2 linked regions of the Saccharomyces cerevisiae S288C genome follow. The gene in region 1 interacts genetically with each later gene. Each region holds a gene or a part of one and is shown on either strand. Other genes may lie near its edges.

Evidence for each region.
Region 2: mutations in PMT4 (region 1) and GUP1 together harm fitness more than expected from each alone (negative genetic interaction), as found in Saccharomyces cerevisiae (3 studies listed by BioGRID).

Annotation. Positions count from the first base shown.
Region 1 is NC_001142.9:696,163-702,565, forward strand, and holds PMT4 (dolichyl-phosphate-mannose-protein mannosyltransferase), read right to left. Parts: upstream 4,453-6,403; coding exon 2,164-4,452; downstream 1-2,163. Other genes in the region: IPA1 (putative polyadenylation protein), read left to right, coding at 1-787; YJR142W (uncharacterized protein), read left to right, coding at 979-2,007; MGM101 (Mgm101p), read left to right, coding at 4,720-5,529; 40S ribosomal protein eS4 RPS4A, read right to left, coding at 5,865-6,403. UniProt on the Saccharomyces cerevisiae protein: Protein O-mannosyltransferase involved in O-glycosylation which is essential for cell wall rigidity. Forms a homodimeric complex to transfer mannose from Dol-P-mannose to Ser or Thr residues on proteins.
Region 2 is NC_001139.9:348,060-354,007, reverse strand, and holds GUP1 (O-acyltransferase), read left to right. Parts: upstream 1-1,709; coding exon 1,710-3,392; downstream 3,393-5,948. Other genes in the region: SCY1 (Scy1p), read right to left, coding at 1-950; LCL3 (Lcl3p), read right to left, coding at 3,568-4,392; coiled-coil domain-containing protein MAD1, read right to left, coding at 4,640-5,948. UniProt on the Saccharomyces cerevisiae protein: Membrane-bound O-acyltransferase involved in the remodeling of glycosylphosphatidylinositol (GPI) anchors. Acts only on GPI-anchored proteins, but not on free GPI lipids.

The DNA.
Region 1 (6,403 bases):
TTCTATCATGTCGCTTCCAGATGGAAGATGGACTAAAGAAGAGCTTCGCTCAGATTCTGATTTCTCGATAGAATGTCTTAACTGTAAGCAAAAAATTATAAGCAAAGATAACTGTCAAGTTTTGAATGATATGCCTTCAGAGTTTTGGTTCGAGTTAATGGATTATTGGCATTGCCACAAACCCGATGTTAAGGAAGACAAGTCTTCCTACACAAGATTTGAAACGCTAAAACCATCTAAAAACGAAATTTTAATTGGAAGCTCTTATTTTCAAGGCACTCCTGCGACTTTTGAAAATGTAGCGACTACAAAGGAAAATGATAATGTTTTATGCATAAAGTGCTCAGCAGTGTTAGGCCAAGTAACTGCTGGTTCGCTTTATAAACTACACAAATGGAAACTGCAGTTAATACGCAGTGGAAACACATACAAATTTCCTCCAGAATGTGACATTACAATTTCTTTAATAAACGTAGTTAAGGCAAACTCTTGTCGTTACGTACTAGTAAAATGTAAAACGGAATCATTGCTAGTTTGGATATTTTCCGTTGACATTGGAGTCACATTGACGGGAAACAAAAGCTTCAAGAGAGCGATGAAGTTGCTTTACACAAACAGCGTTACCACAATAAATCGATGTCTCAATCGACAAGTCGTCGAGGAATTAGATTTCCAAGAAACATCGTTTAATGCTTTTTACAGCGCCCTTCAACATACTAATGCACTTTTACCCTCAAGCATGAAAAAAATTGGTGAATGGACCATTAGCTATACATCACTAATCTAATTTTAAGAACCATTCTCTTTCAAATTTGTACAAATATTGTCATCAAGTAATAAATAGCTTCTTTTTTTTTTTAACATACAGTTGTAGAATTAACTTCGTTGGCCGAAGAATTGCACAACAATAGCGTTTGTTATATTACTAAATATAGGGGCTTTCTTGGGAACGAAAGTGAAACAAACGCTTTTAATACAATGAAGGTCGAGAAATCATCTAAAGGCTTGGAAGTTTTAGTGAGGACACAGGAGGATGATCTAGAGGGGTTCTCTTTCCTGGAGATTATGGACCGCGTAGACCCTTTACCATTAGACTTCGAGAATTACAAAAATTTCAAAGAGGGCATTTACTATATGTGTACACACGATGGCACAAAGATCGGTTTCGTGTTGAAATTTGCGATAAATGAAATGGAGACTGTTTGCTCGGAAATCTTCGAAGAAACCTTCCAATTAGATGAATCTAGACATGAGTTAAGGTTTAAAAGTGAAGATTTTGATCATAGAAACAATCTAATTGACCAATTGGCTCGTAAAATGTATTTAGAATCATCCTTGAGTGGTGTGAAGGGCTGGAGAAACGAGAAATATGCCGTTTGGGTTAATAAAAAACCCTATGTACTGGTTGAGCGTGCAGTAGCAGGTGTTCTTGGTATAATTACCTACGGGATTCATATTAATGGTTATGTGCTAGATCCAAAGTCAAAAAAAGTTCAGTTTTGGGTTCCAAGAAGATCTAAAACGAAACAAACATGGCCGCTAATGCTTGACAACATTATCGCCGGGGGATTAGGTTATCCTTATGGTATCTATGAAACAGTTTTGAAAGAAAGCATGGAGGAAGCCAATCTAGAAAAGAGTGTTATTGAGGATAACATTAAAGCAACTGGTTCAGTTTCCTACCTTTACTTTACGGGTGATATTTCTGTAACGAAGTTCAATAAGGAATCAGATTTTATCGTAGGGGAAGTACAATATGTATACGATCTAAAACTCAGCGAAGACATCATTCCAAAACCAAACGATGGTGAAGTCGAGAGTTTCAATTTATTCAGCCTGCAAGAGACGATTAATGCTTTAAGAAAAAAAGAGTTCAAACCAAATTGTGCATTGGTAATGGTAGATTTCTTGATTAGACATGGCTACATCACTCCAGAAAATGAGCCCAATTATCTTGAACTAGTAACTAGAATGCACAGAAGGTTACCATTCCCCACCTTGAATTAACATTCAAGAGGTTACCGGTTGATATCTAAACAAATATAAAGAATTTTTTTCATATATACACATCTAGGTACATACTATCTAAGATCAAAAGTACTCTATTTTGTCACTAAACGGAGGAAGGCGTTCAGTTCGTTTGTGGTTAGTGAACAGAAAAAGTTACTTGGAGAAATTTAATTCTATGTCAAACCACTCTCTAGAAACAACTTCCGATGGTGACAAGCTGACATCTCCATACACTAGTGGTGAAAAGTATACAAAAAACCACGCAACAGCACAGGAGACACACACCAAGAAGACGGTATAGGGTTTAACGTAGACCTTAGGGTTCCGTTCATATGATGCACCTGAAATATCCTCGTCTTTCTCCAAATCCAATGATTTGCAATCACTGAAAATTACTTCCCATAGTGCTCCTGAGAATAAGCACGCGATTAAATGAGCTGGTAAGTAATGATGCAAAAACTTTTGACGCGCCATTAAAAAGAATGGAAAATAATGACAGCACCAGGAGACGAAGAAAAACATCAATGGGCCATACAGCTTTTCTCTGGTCATCTTGTTTAGGGCATAATAGCCACGATGTCTAGTAATTAAATCGGCCACGATAATGCCAACAAAAACAGCCAATGATATGACTTGGAACCACCACCCAATGATGTTACCAATGAAATATATTTGCTTCTTTTCGTCACCGTTGGTCCAGAACGAAACACCACTTAAACTACCGGGCCAACTGTAAGGTTCAGAGGCAAATGGATGCTCTGATGATAGTTTATTGTTATGTTCGAACATAGATTTTTGAGTTTCAATCCATTTCTTCAAGAATGGTAATGGCTTAACAACCTTCGGAATATATACCTTCCGAACCTCGTCCAGGTTAACAATTTCATCAACAACCCAGTTATTTGAAGGATCAATAACTTTTTTGTTACCATTAATTTCTTGTTGTTGGAACCCCCAATCCGGTAACAACTCGTCGTTGTGAGTCCACAAAGCTACGGAGGTATCAACGTGGAAAAGACGGAAAGAAACCGTTTTACTCTTTAAAACGTGACCTTCATCTGATTTTTTCAGTGGTTGGAATGCAAAAAGTGTTTCAGGATATAATTCCCCATCACCTTCTTCTAAAGTTACTGTAGTGATTTCTTCATTGGTAGGGTAAAATGGGGAGGCGACATCATGGGCTAACAAGTAGGTATCGGTGGCTACATGTCTCAATCTTATATGCTGGTTCAATAGAACAGCTTGTCCTTTACCGACATCACTGCCATGGGGTGGTAACACTTCCCATTGATTGTTGAAGTCAGGATGCGTGTAACCAGTAACTTGTTGACCAGCGGATGAGATACGACCATCTTCATACCGTTGTGGGTAACGTGCCAAGTGAGAATGTAAGAATGCGTCAGTATCTTGATGTTTGATAGTGATAATATCAAAATAATTGACGGTTTTAGAGTCAACACTTAAGGGAGAGTCCTTAAGTGTTTCTTGAAATTCAGCAGACATAAATGCGTCGCCAGGACCTGAAGTATTCAAAACGGTGAAATGAACCCAGAACCAAAACAAGTAAATCACAAATGGAATCAAAACTAAACCATTCAGCCTTTTACTAAAATGTCTCATGAACTGCCTCAAGGACAAACCCGCCTTGATGTCCAGTAATTGCCATAAGTTGACCACAGCAGCAAAACCAATAGCGGAATATGTCATAACACCAACATATTTTGTGGAAATCACGAAGGATAAAGACAAACCAGTAGCGTGTAACCAAATATACCAACTCCATGTAAAAGGTTGACGCAATTGGCACTTGTAGAAACGAACGTAACAATACATAGTAGCAGCAATAGAAATAATCAAGATGGCATCCAGTAAAATCAGCCTAGTTTCTGTAACATGCGCAGTATCGATTGCAACCAAGAGAGATGCAAACGCACATGTAATAGCCCTGAAATTCAGTTCCTTCAAAGTGTTGAACATAATTGGTACAGTCAATGTGCCCAATATCGCGTTGAAAGAACGGTACGCGATATATGGAGCTGGATGAGTTTCATAAGAATACCCAATCTCATCAAACTTAAAGGAACCATCATAGCCACATAACCAACCAATGAAGGCAATCATCATCTTAGCAAAAGGGGGATGAACGTCAAAGAAATAAGACCTTTCTAAGTAATACGATGCAAATTTCCCGAAATGTACCTCATCAAAAACAACTTCTTTTGGATACCAGATCTTATAAAATCTAGCAGCAAACGCTAATAAGGTAACAATTGTTACCCAAAAGCTATAACGTGATTCCGGTTCCGGTAGTGGCTGCAAGAGCCAATGTTCAGCAACTTGTTCACATTTAGGCGCGGCCTTCGTGTACTTCAACGAAGGATCGTCTACGTCCTTAGTGGAAGGTGGTAACTTCCCATGGTTACGTTTTTTGGGCACAGACATCTGTACTTCTGTGGACTGTCAGAAAATATCTTGGTAAAATATGTATCGACAAACTTCTTAGTACAGTTAATATAGAAGTAAGGATTCGAGTGAGTAGTTTTGATAAAGCGCGTTTCATTATGCATATTTTTCATTTTTTATTTTTTTTGTCAAGAAATACACGAATAACATCACGAAATTTATCGACAGAATAATGGAAGAAACTATTTAAAAAGACGGTAGAGACTAAAAAAGGAAAGAAAGGACAAGTAGGAAGATCAGCGTACGATGAAAAGCATTTTCAAGGTTAGAGGATGTGTATCGCATGCTGCTCAATTTTGCCAAAAAAGAACCGTGGTGAGTACCGGCACTAGTAACACCGCAACAGCCGGTGCAGTGAGGAAAAGTTTCAACAGTACCGAAACCAAGCCTGTATTTGCAACAAAATCGGAAGCTGGCAATGGAAGCCACATGAAGGAATATTCAAGCGGCATTAACTCTAAACTCGGCGGGACCCCTTTGGAAACCCGCAGCACCGCCGATGATTCTTTGAACAATAGTTATAAGCAAGTCAAGGGAGACATTGACTGGTATACTTCATGGTATGGCCTAGGTATGAAGCCCTTTGAAGCAAAAGTGCAAAAGGATCTAATCGAGCCTCTGGACCCTAAGGATATAGAAATCAAGCCAGATGGTTTGATATACTTGCCTGAAATTAAATACCGTAGAATACTGAACAAAGCTTTTGGCGCAGGCGGTTGGGGGCTAGTGCCAAGATCACAAACAATAGTGACATCCAAGCTGGTCACTAGGGAGTACGGTCTTATTTGCCATGGTCAATTGATCAGTGTGGCAAGAGGCGAACAAGACTATTTCAACGAAGCCGGCATACCAACTGCTACAGAAGGTTGCAAAAGTAATGCATTAATGAGGTGTTGCAAAGATCTCGGCGTCGGTTCTGAATTATGGGACCCTGTTTTCATAAAGAAATTCAAAGTGGATCATTGTACTGAGAAGTTTGTGGAACATGTTACCACCAAGAGAAAGAAGAAAATTTGGTTAAGAAAGGACAGACAAGTTGAATATCCTTATAAATAGTCAATATGCGAACCATATAAGCTAATTTTAGTAAGTATATATATTCCAATACAATCACACACACACACACACACACACACACACACACATACGCATATATTGTGGTAGTGCGTAGTGTCAGTACGTCTTATCATACGCCTTCTATTTCAGGGTTAGCGTATTTTTACTATCAATATTACAATACGGATATATATACACACACCTAATATATATATTATACGTTATATTACTGCCAGTCGAAAAAGGAAGATACGATGTATTATTTTAAAATTCAATTTCTAATAAACATTAATGGAGATATACAAAAGAAGAAAATAATTAAGTTGTTATGAAATTTATAAACCTTGTTGAGCTCTTCTTCTGTCACGTTCTTCAGCAATAGACAACTTGATACCCTTACCCTTTGGCAAAGAAATGTAAGGCTTACCTTGTTCACCGATGACGAAGACATTGTTCAATCTAGTGACGAAAGTGTTGTCCAAGGAGTCCTTGATGTGAACTAAATCGAAACCACCATCGTGTCTTTCCTTGTGAACGATAGTACCGATACGACCCAAGTTACGACCACCAGTAACGTAAACCAACTTACCGGCATCGAACTTGATGAAATCAGTAATCTTACCAGAGGCCAAGTCGATCTTAACAGTGTCATTGACCTTGATGTTTGGGTCTGGGTATCTGATAGTTCTACCATCGTGGGTAACAACGTATGGAACACCCTTCTTACCTAATTGAACCTTCTTGACCTTACCCAACTTGTAAGAAGCTTCTTCATCGGTGATACGGTGGACAGCGAATCTACCCTTGACATCGTAGACCAATCTGAAGTTTTCATTGGTGGCATCTAGAGTGATGACATCCATGAAACCAGCTG
Region 2 (5,948 bases), on another chromosome or scaffold:
AACGTTATGTTATCATATCTGGAATAGATGTCTCTGTTTATTAGCTTGGGTATACAATGCCTCAACTTTTGTGGAACCTTACTGAATATATTATCCCATGACATTGTACTAATTTTGCTTTCAAACTTGTTGTACTCCAATTTATATTCACTAGTCGAATTTTCGCTGCGAAACAAGTCTTTACCAGTGTACAGAAAATATATCAACAATCCTAAAGAAAAATAATCGTTCTTAAAGGTTAGGGTATTCTCAAAAACAATTTCTGGGGCCGTATAATTCAATTGTAAATGCATAAATGGGGGAACTCTGGGATCATATTGAGGTAAGAAGTATTCAGAGGTATTTGTGCCTGGTGGTATTTTTACTAAATAGCCTAAGCCGGAAATTTTCCAATCAGAATTTTCATTGATAAATATTGCCCTAGGTTGAATGTTCAAGTGTACAAAGCTTGCGCGGTTATGAACAAAATCGAGTGCATTTACCAGTTGCAATATACCTCGCTGTACCACGATATTATCTTTAACATGACCTTGTAAGAAATTCTGCTCTTCATCATCGGTTTCTCTGAAAACGGTCTCCAATGAGCTAGTGACAAACTCGGTGACGAACATGAAATTCTTGCTATGTTCTTCTAATGGTTCAATTAAAGTCAGAATATTTGGGTGCTTGAGCTTGGCCAAGTTATTGGCCTGGTTTCTTAATATTTCGTACGCTTCTTGTATTAATACTTTATCTCTGGATCCAGATTTGGATTTAATAATACCATAGTGTAACAAATAGTTTTCGAACTGCTTCTTGTCAAACATGAATATCGATACTTTGGAAGGTGAAGATGAAGATGAAGATTTGGGACGACCGGTGTAAATGCTCCATGGTTCAGCTGTGAAAGTAGGTGATGATGAAAATGAATATTTTGACGTGATACCCGTCTTTGAGGACCAAAACATCATCCCTGCTCAATCAAAGTGTGTCCTATTTTCCTTAATGATACGATATTCGAAGTTACACTGTTTTGAATACTTTTGTGCGCTTTAATATGTGCAAGATTTATTTGTTTTGATATTAACTTCTTTTTGGCTTCTATTTTTTCAAGACTGCAGTACCCTTTTTTTCACGCAACTTCAGGTTCGAACCGAAGAATAGTTTAATTACGTTTAGTTTTCCTACTGAAACTTTTTTTTTAAAAGACCCTGAGAATTTCATCTCGAGAATAATGAAGACCAATATATAAGTAATGAATCATAAAAGTACAAGAGCAGGATCAAAGTTGAATGTCTCAACAACAGGACAAGAAAATGAGTGAAGAAGGAGCATATGTACGGGTGAGCATTTTTCTTGTATAAACATAAACTAGCTGAACATCAGCTCAATCGGACATAAAAATAAGTTTCCAATTAGACATGCACTTGAACTTGTAATTATTTATCGACCAAAAAGAGTAAGTTAATTTTCACATAATCTTGGAAAAGCCAGAAACAAGATTCGAGAGCTGGAGAATGGATGATGAATCAAGCAATGTTGAACAATCAAAATAATATAGGGTGTATAGGTGTTCACGTATTTCTCTTTATGTTTAGTGGGTGTGCCAAAAAGGACACTGAAAGGGTAAGAATAATAACTTAGCATATTGCTTTCGATATATAGATGTTAATCATACAAAGGCAAAAACAAAGCGTGAATCAGCATTTGTTAACAGACAATTGCAAGAAATGTCGCTGATCAGCATCCTGTCTCCCCTAATTACTTCCGAGGGCTTAGATTCAAGAATCAAACCTTCACCAAAAAAGGATGCCTCTACTACCACTAAGCCATCACTATGGAAAACTACTGAGTTCAAATTCTACTACATTGCATTTCTGGTCGTGGTTCCCTTGATGTTCTATGCTGGGTTACAAGCTAGTTCGCCCGAAAATCCAAACTATGCAAGATACGAACGTCTCCTATCTCAAGGTTGGTTATTTGGCAGAAAAGTAGACAATAGTGATTCTCAATATAGGTTTTTCAGGGACAATTTTGCGCTATTGTCAGTTTTAATGCTAGTCCACACTTCTATAAAACGCATTGTACTTTATTCAACAAATATCACTAAATTGAGGTTTGATCTGATATTTGGTTTGATCTTTTTAGTGGCCGCTCATGGTGTCAATTCGATAAGAATTTTAGCCCATATGCTAATTTTATATGCCATCGCCCATGTACTAAAGAACTTTAGAAGAATAGCCACCATCAGCATTTGGATTTATGGTATTTCTACGCTTTTTATTAACGACAACTTCAGAGCATATCCATTTGGTAATATTTGCTCTTTTTTAAGCCCATTGGACCATTGGTATAGAGGTATCATTCCAAGATGGGATGTCTTTTTCAATTTTACTCTTTTGAGAGTCTTAAGTTACAACTTGGACTTCTTAGAGAGGTGGGAGAATTTACAAAAGAAGAAAAGTCCATCCTATGAATCAAAAGAAGCTAAATCAGCCATTTTGCTCAATGAACGTGCTAGATTAACTGCTGCACACCCCATACAGGACTACAGCTTAATGAATTATATTGCATATGTTACTTACACGCCACTTTTCATTGCCGGCCCCATTATAACATTCAATGATTATGTTTACCAATCGAAACATACCTTGCCATCAATAAATTTCAAATTCATTTTTTACTATGCGGTGAGATTCGTTATTGCTCTCTTATCTATGGAGTTCATTTTACACTTTCTCCACGTTGTGGCAATCTCAAAAACCAAAGCGTGGGAAAATGACACACCTTTCCAGATTTCCATGATTGGCTTATTTAATTTGAATATTATTTGGCTAAAACTACTGATTCCGTGGAGGCTGTTTAGGCTGTGGGCTTTGCTAGACGGAATCGATACACCTGAAAATATGATCAGGTGTGTTGATAACAATTACAGTTCACTAGCATTCTGGAGAGCTTGGCATAGAAGCTACAATAAGTGGGTTGTCCGTTACATATATATTCCTCTAGGTGGTTCAAAAAATAGAGTTTTGACATCACTAGCAGTCTTTTCCTTCGTAGCTATATGGCATGACATCGAACTAAAGTTATTATTATGGGGTTGGCTAATAGTTTTGTTCCTCTTACCAGAAATTTTTGCTACCCAAATTTTCTCTCATTATACCGACGCAGTCTGGTACAGACACGTTTGCGCTGTCGGTGCTGTTTTCAACATATGGGTTATGATGATCGCTAATCTTTTTGGATTCTGCTTGGGCTCTGACGGTACTAAAAAATTACTAAGCGATATGTTCTGTACCGTATCTGGTTTCAAATTTGTAATTTTGGCAAGCGTTAGTTTATTCATCGCAGTACAAATAATGTTTGAAATCAGAGAAGAAGAAAAGAGGCACGGAATTTACCTAAAATGCTGAATGCCAAATTTACGAATATCAATTGTATAACACTGCTATCATGTATGTATTTTTATCTACTAGTACAAAAATGAAACCGAAAATAAATAAAAAAATATCGAGAGGAAGCGTGAAAAGCTAATGAACATATAATATGAAAATCTGCAGTATGATGGATAAAAATCCTCTCGAAAACTCAAATACGTTTTTTATATTCACCAGGCGTTTCAAATTTATTCTGGATCCACAGTCCCTTTTTTCTAGATCTTGCCAAAAATTCATAATATCGATACTTATCTTCTCTATCATCAAATTCTGTGTTTACTTTACCCTCATAAACAACCGCTAATCCATCCTTGAGCATTTCTAAGCTTAAGTCTTTCCACCCACCAAACCAGTCCCAGTATGACACTCGAGCTACACAACGGTTGTACTGATCTATAGATAAAGGCTTGACCCATACTTTCTTTCCCAAAATTCGGTTTTGTAACCAAATTAAAGCTTCATTACCAAACGGTTGAGCTGGGTTACCGAAATGTGCTCTTTCTGGGGCATCGATTCCACATAATCTTATAGGAATAGTTGGCAGGTTTTTCCTATTTTTGTAAGGTACATTTAGCTTCAAGAACTGGCTTTTAGCTTTTTGTATTTTACTTTTGGTGGACCTCCCATGCGTAATCCAATTGAAATTGAAAAACCTCATATTTCTGCTATCTCCAACAAGCTTTTCTGCCGTAGAATCATTCTTGATCATTTGTGGGACGGGTCGTAACCATCCCCATCCACCTCTTATACCACCTGGCATGTGAAAGAAATGAAAGTTGTCCCCGTCACCTACAGACGTGACTTTACCATAAAGCCAGTGTTTACGAAATATTCTTCGCGGTATATCATTTGTTCTTTTGAATTGAGTTAAATACCTTTTATATGTGTAGATCAATGTTAAGGTCGAACCCGTAAGGATGATGGAGAGGACAGCAACATCCGCAGATTTTTTTGAATTAGAATCACCTTCCCTCATATAAGTGCATTTATGCCCCCTTAATAGCTATGAAAAACTGGGCTTCTTTTTATATCATGTGTGACTTATTCTGTAATTTGTTTTTATTCTTCAACACAATTTTTTTTTTTTTGCATACCAAAGGAATCATAAAAGGTCAATGATGAAGAAAGATAAAAGAATTTTGTGACCAACAATTATGTCAGCGGATAGGAGTTTATCATATTATAAAACCGATTACTATTATCTATTAGAAATGTATATACACTTATTTGGCTTGTCGCTGTTCCCACAGACGCAATGTTATTGTTGCCAAAAAGCACGGAAGTTGACCTCTATCTTCCACCCATAGATTCATGAGATCATCCCATCCTTCTATATCTGCATCAAGGTTAGATTTCAAAGTGTTTTCATTTAGATCAGCAATCAAATATTTTTCAGGTTTGAAACAGGAAAATATTTTCACACGACTATCTTGTTGAAATTCCAATTTAAAACCTAATAATGAGTTTACAACGTCAATAAACTCCAAAGATTTATTATTGAAAACTTGCTTTAGTCTGGAAAATCTTTTATTTGACTTAAAAACTTCCTGTTCGAACTGTTTCAACTCGAAATTTAGTGAATCATAAACAGAAATGGGTACTGTTTCCACTGCTGGATTATTCTTTTTCAATTCGTTAAGTAAATCTGCATTTTCCTTTTCTAGAAGAAGTAATTTGTTTTTCTTGATAAATTGATCTTTTATGAAGGGGCCGTCACGTAATTGCAGTATACGTATTTTTTTCTCCTTTAGTTTAGTTAACTTTTCTAATTTTTCTTGTAGTAGCTGAATTGTAGTTTGTGCTTTACTCAACTCCCTCGAGACACTTACATTTTCCAGTTGCAATTCGTTGAGCCTCTGTGAATAATTTAAACCAATTTGGTCACTTGTCAACTTCCTCTTTTTTCTTTGTGTTTCTACATCATTGGAATTTGATAATAACTGATCGTTTAGCTTCTTTAGTTCGTTTGTTAAATCTTCTGTCTTATTTTTATAAGTATCGATCAAATTATTCATATCTTCGTTTACGTTCTTGTTTGACGCATGTGTTTCACTATTTTCGACCTCTAGTAAAGCATTATTTTGTGCGGAATATAGGCCATCTAATTGTTCGCGCAGTAATCGACATTCTTCGAAAGATAAACTCTTCTGTTGTTCTAACTCGTGATTTAATCTTTTCAAATTTACTATGTTGTTTTCATAATTCTTGTTCAAATCTAGTATTTGGTTTCTCTCTAAAGCCATTTCATCATTCAGTAGCTTTAAATTGTTATTGTCCAATCTTAACTTATCATTCATATCTGTCAAAATTAAACATTCCTTTTTGGTAAGTTTCCAGTCCCGGATAATCTCTTCAGGGTTATTTCTTATGTTATTTTTGGTTCTGTTGTTATTATTAATATTGTTGTTATTACTTGTATCATTATTATTATCATTATTATTATCATTTTTATTATTATTATTATTATCATTGTTGTTAACATTGTTATCATCATCATCGTCACTATCATTATAAATTTCCCATTTGGTTAAT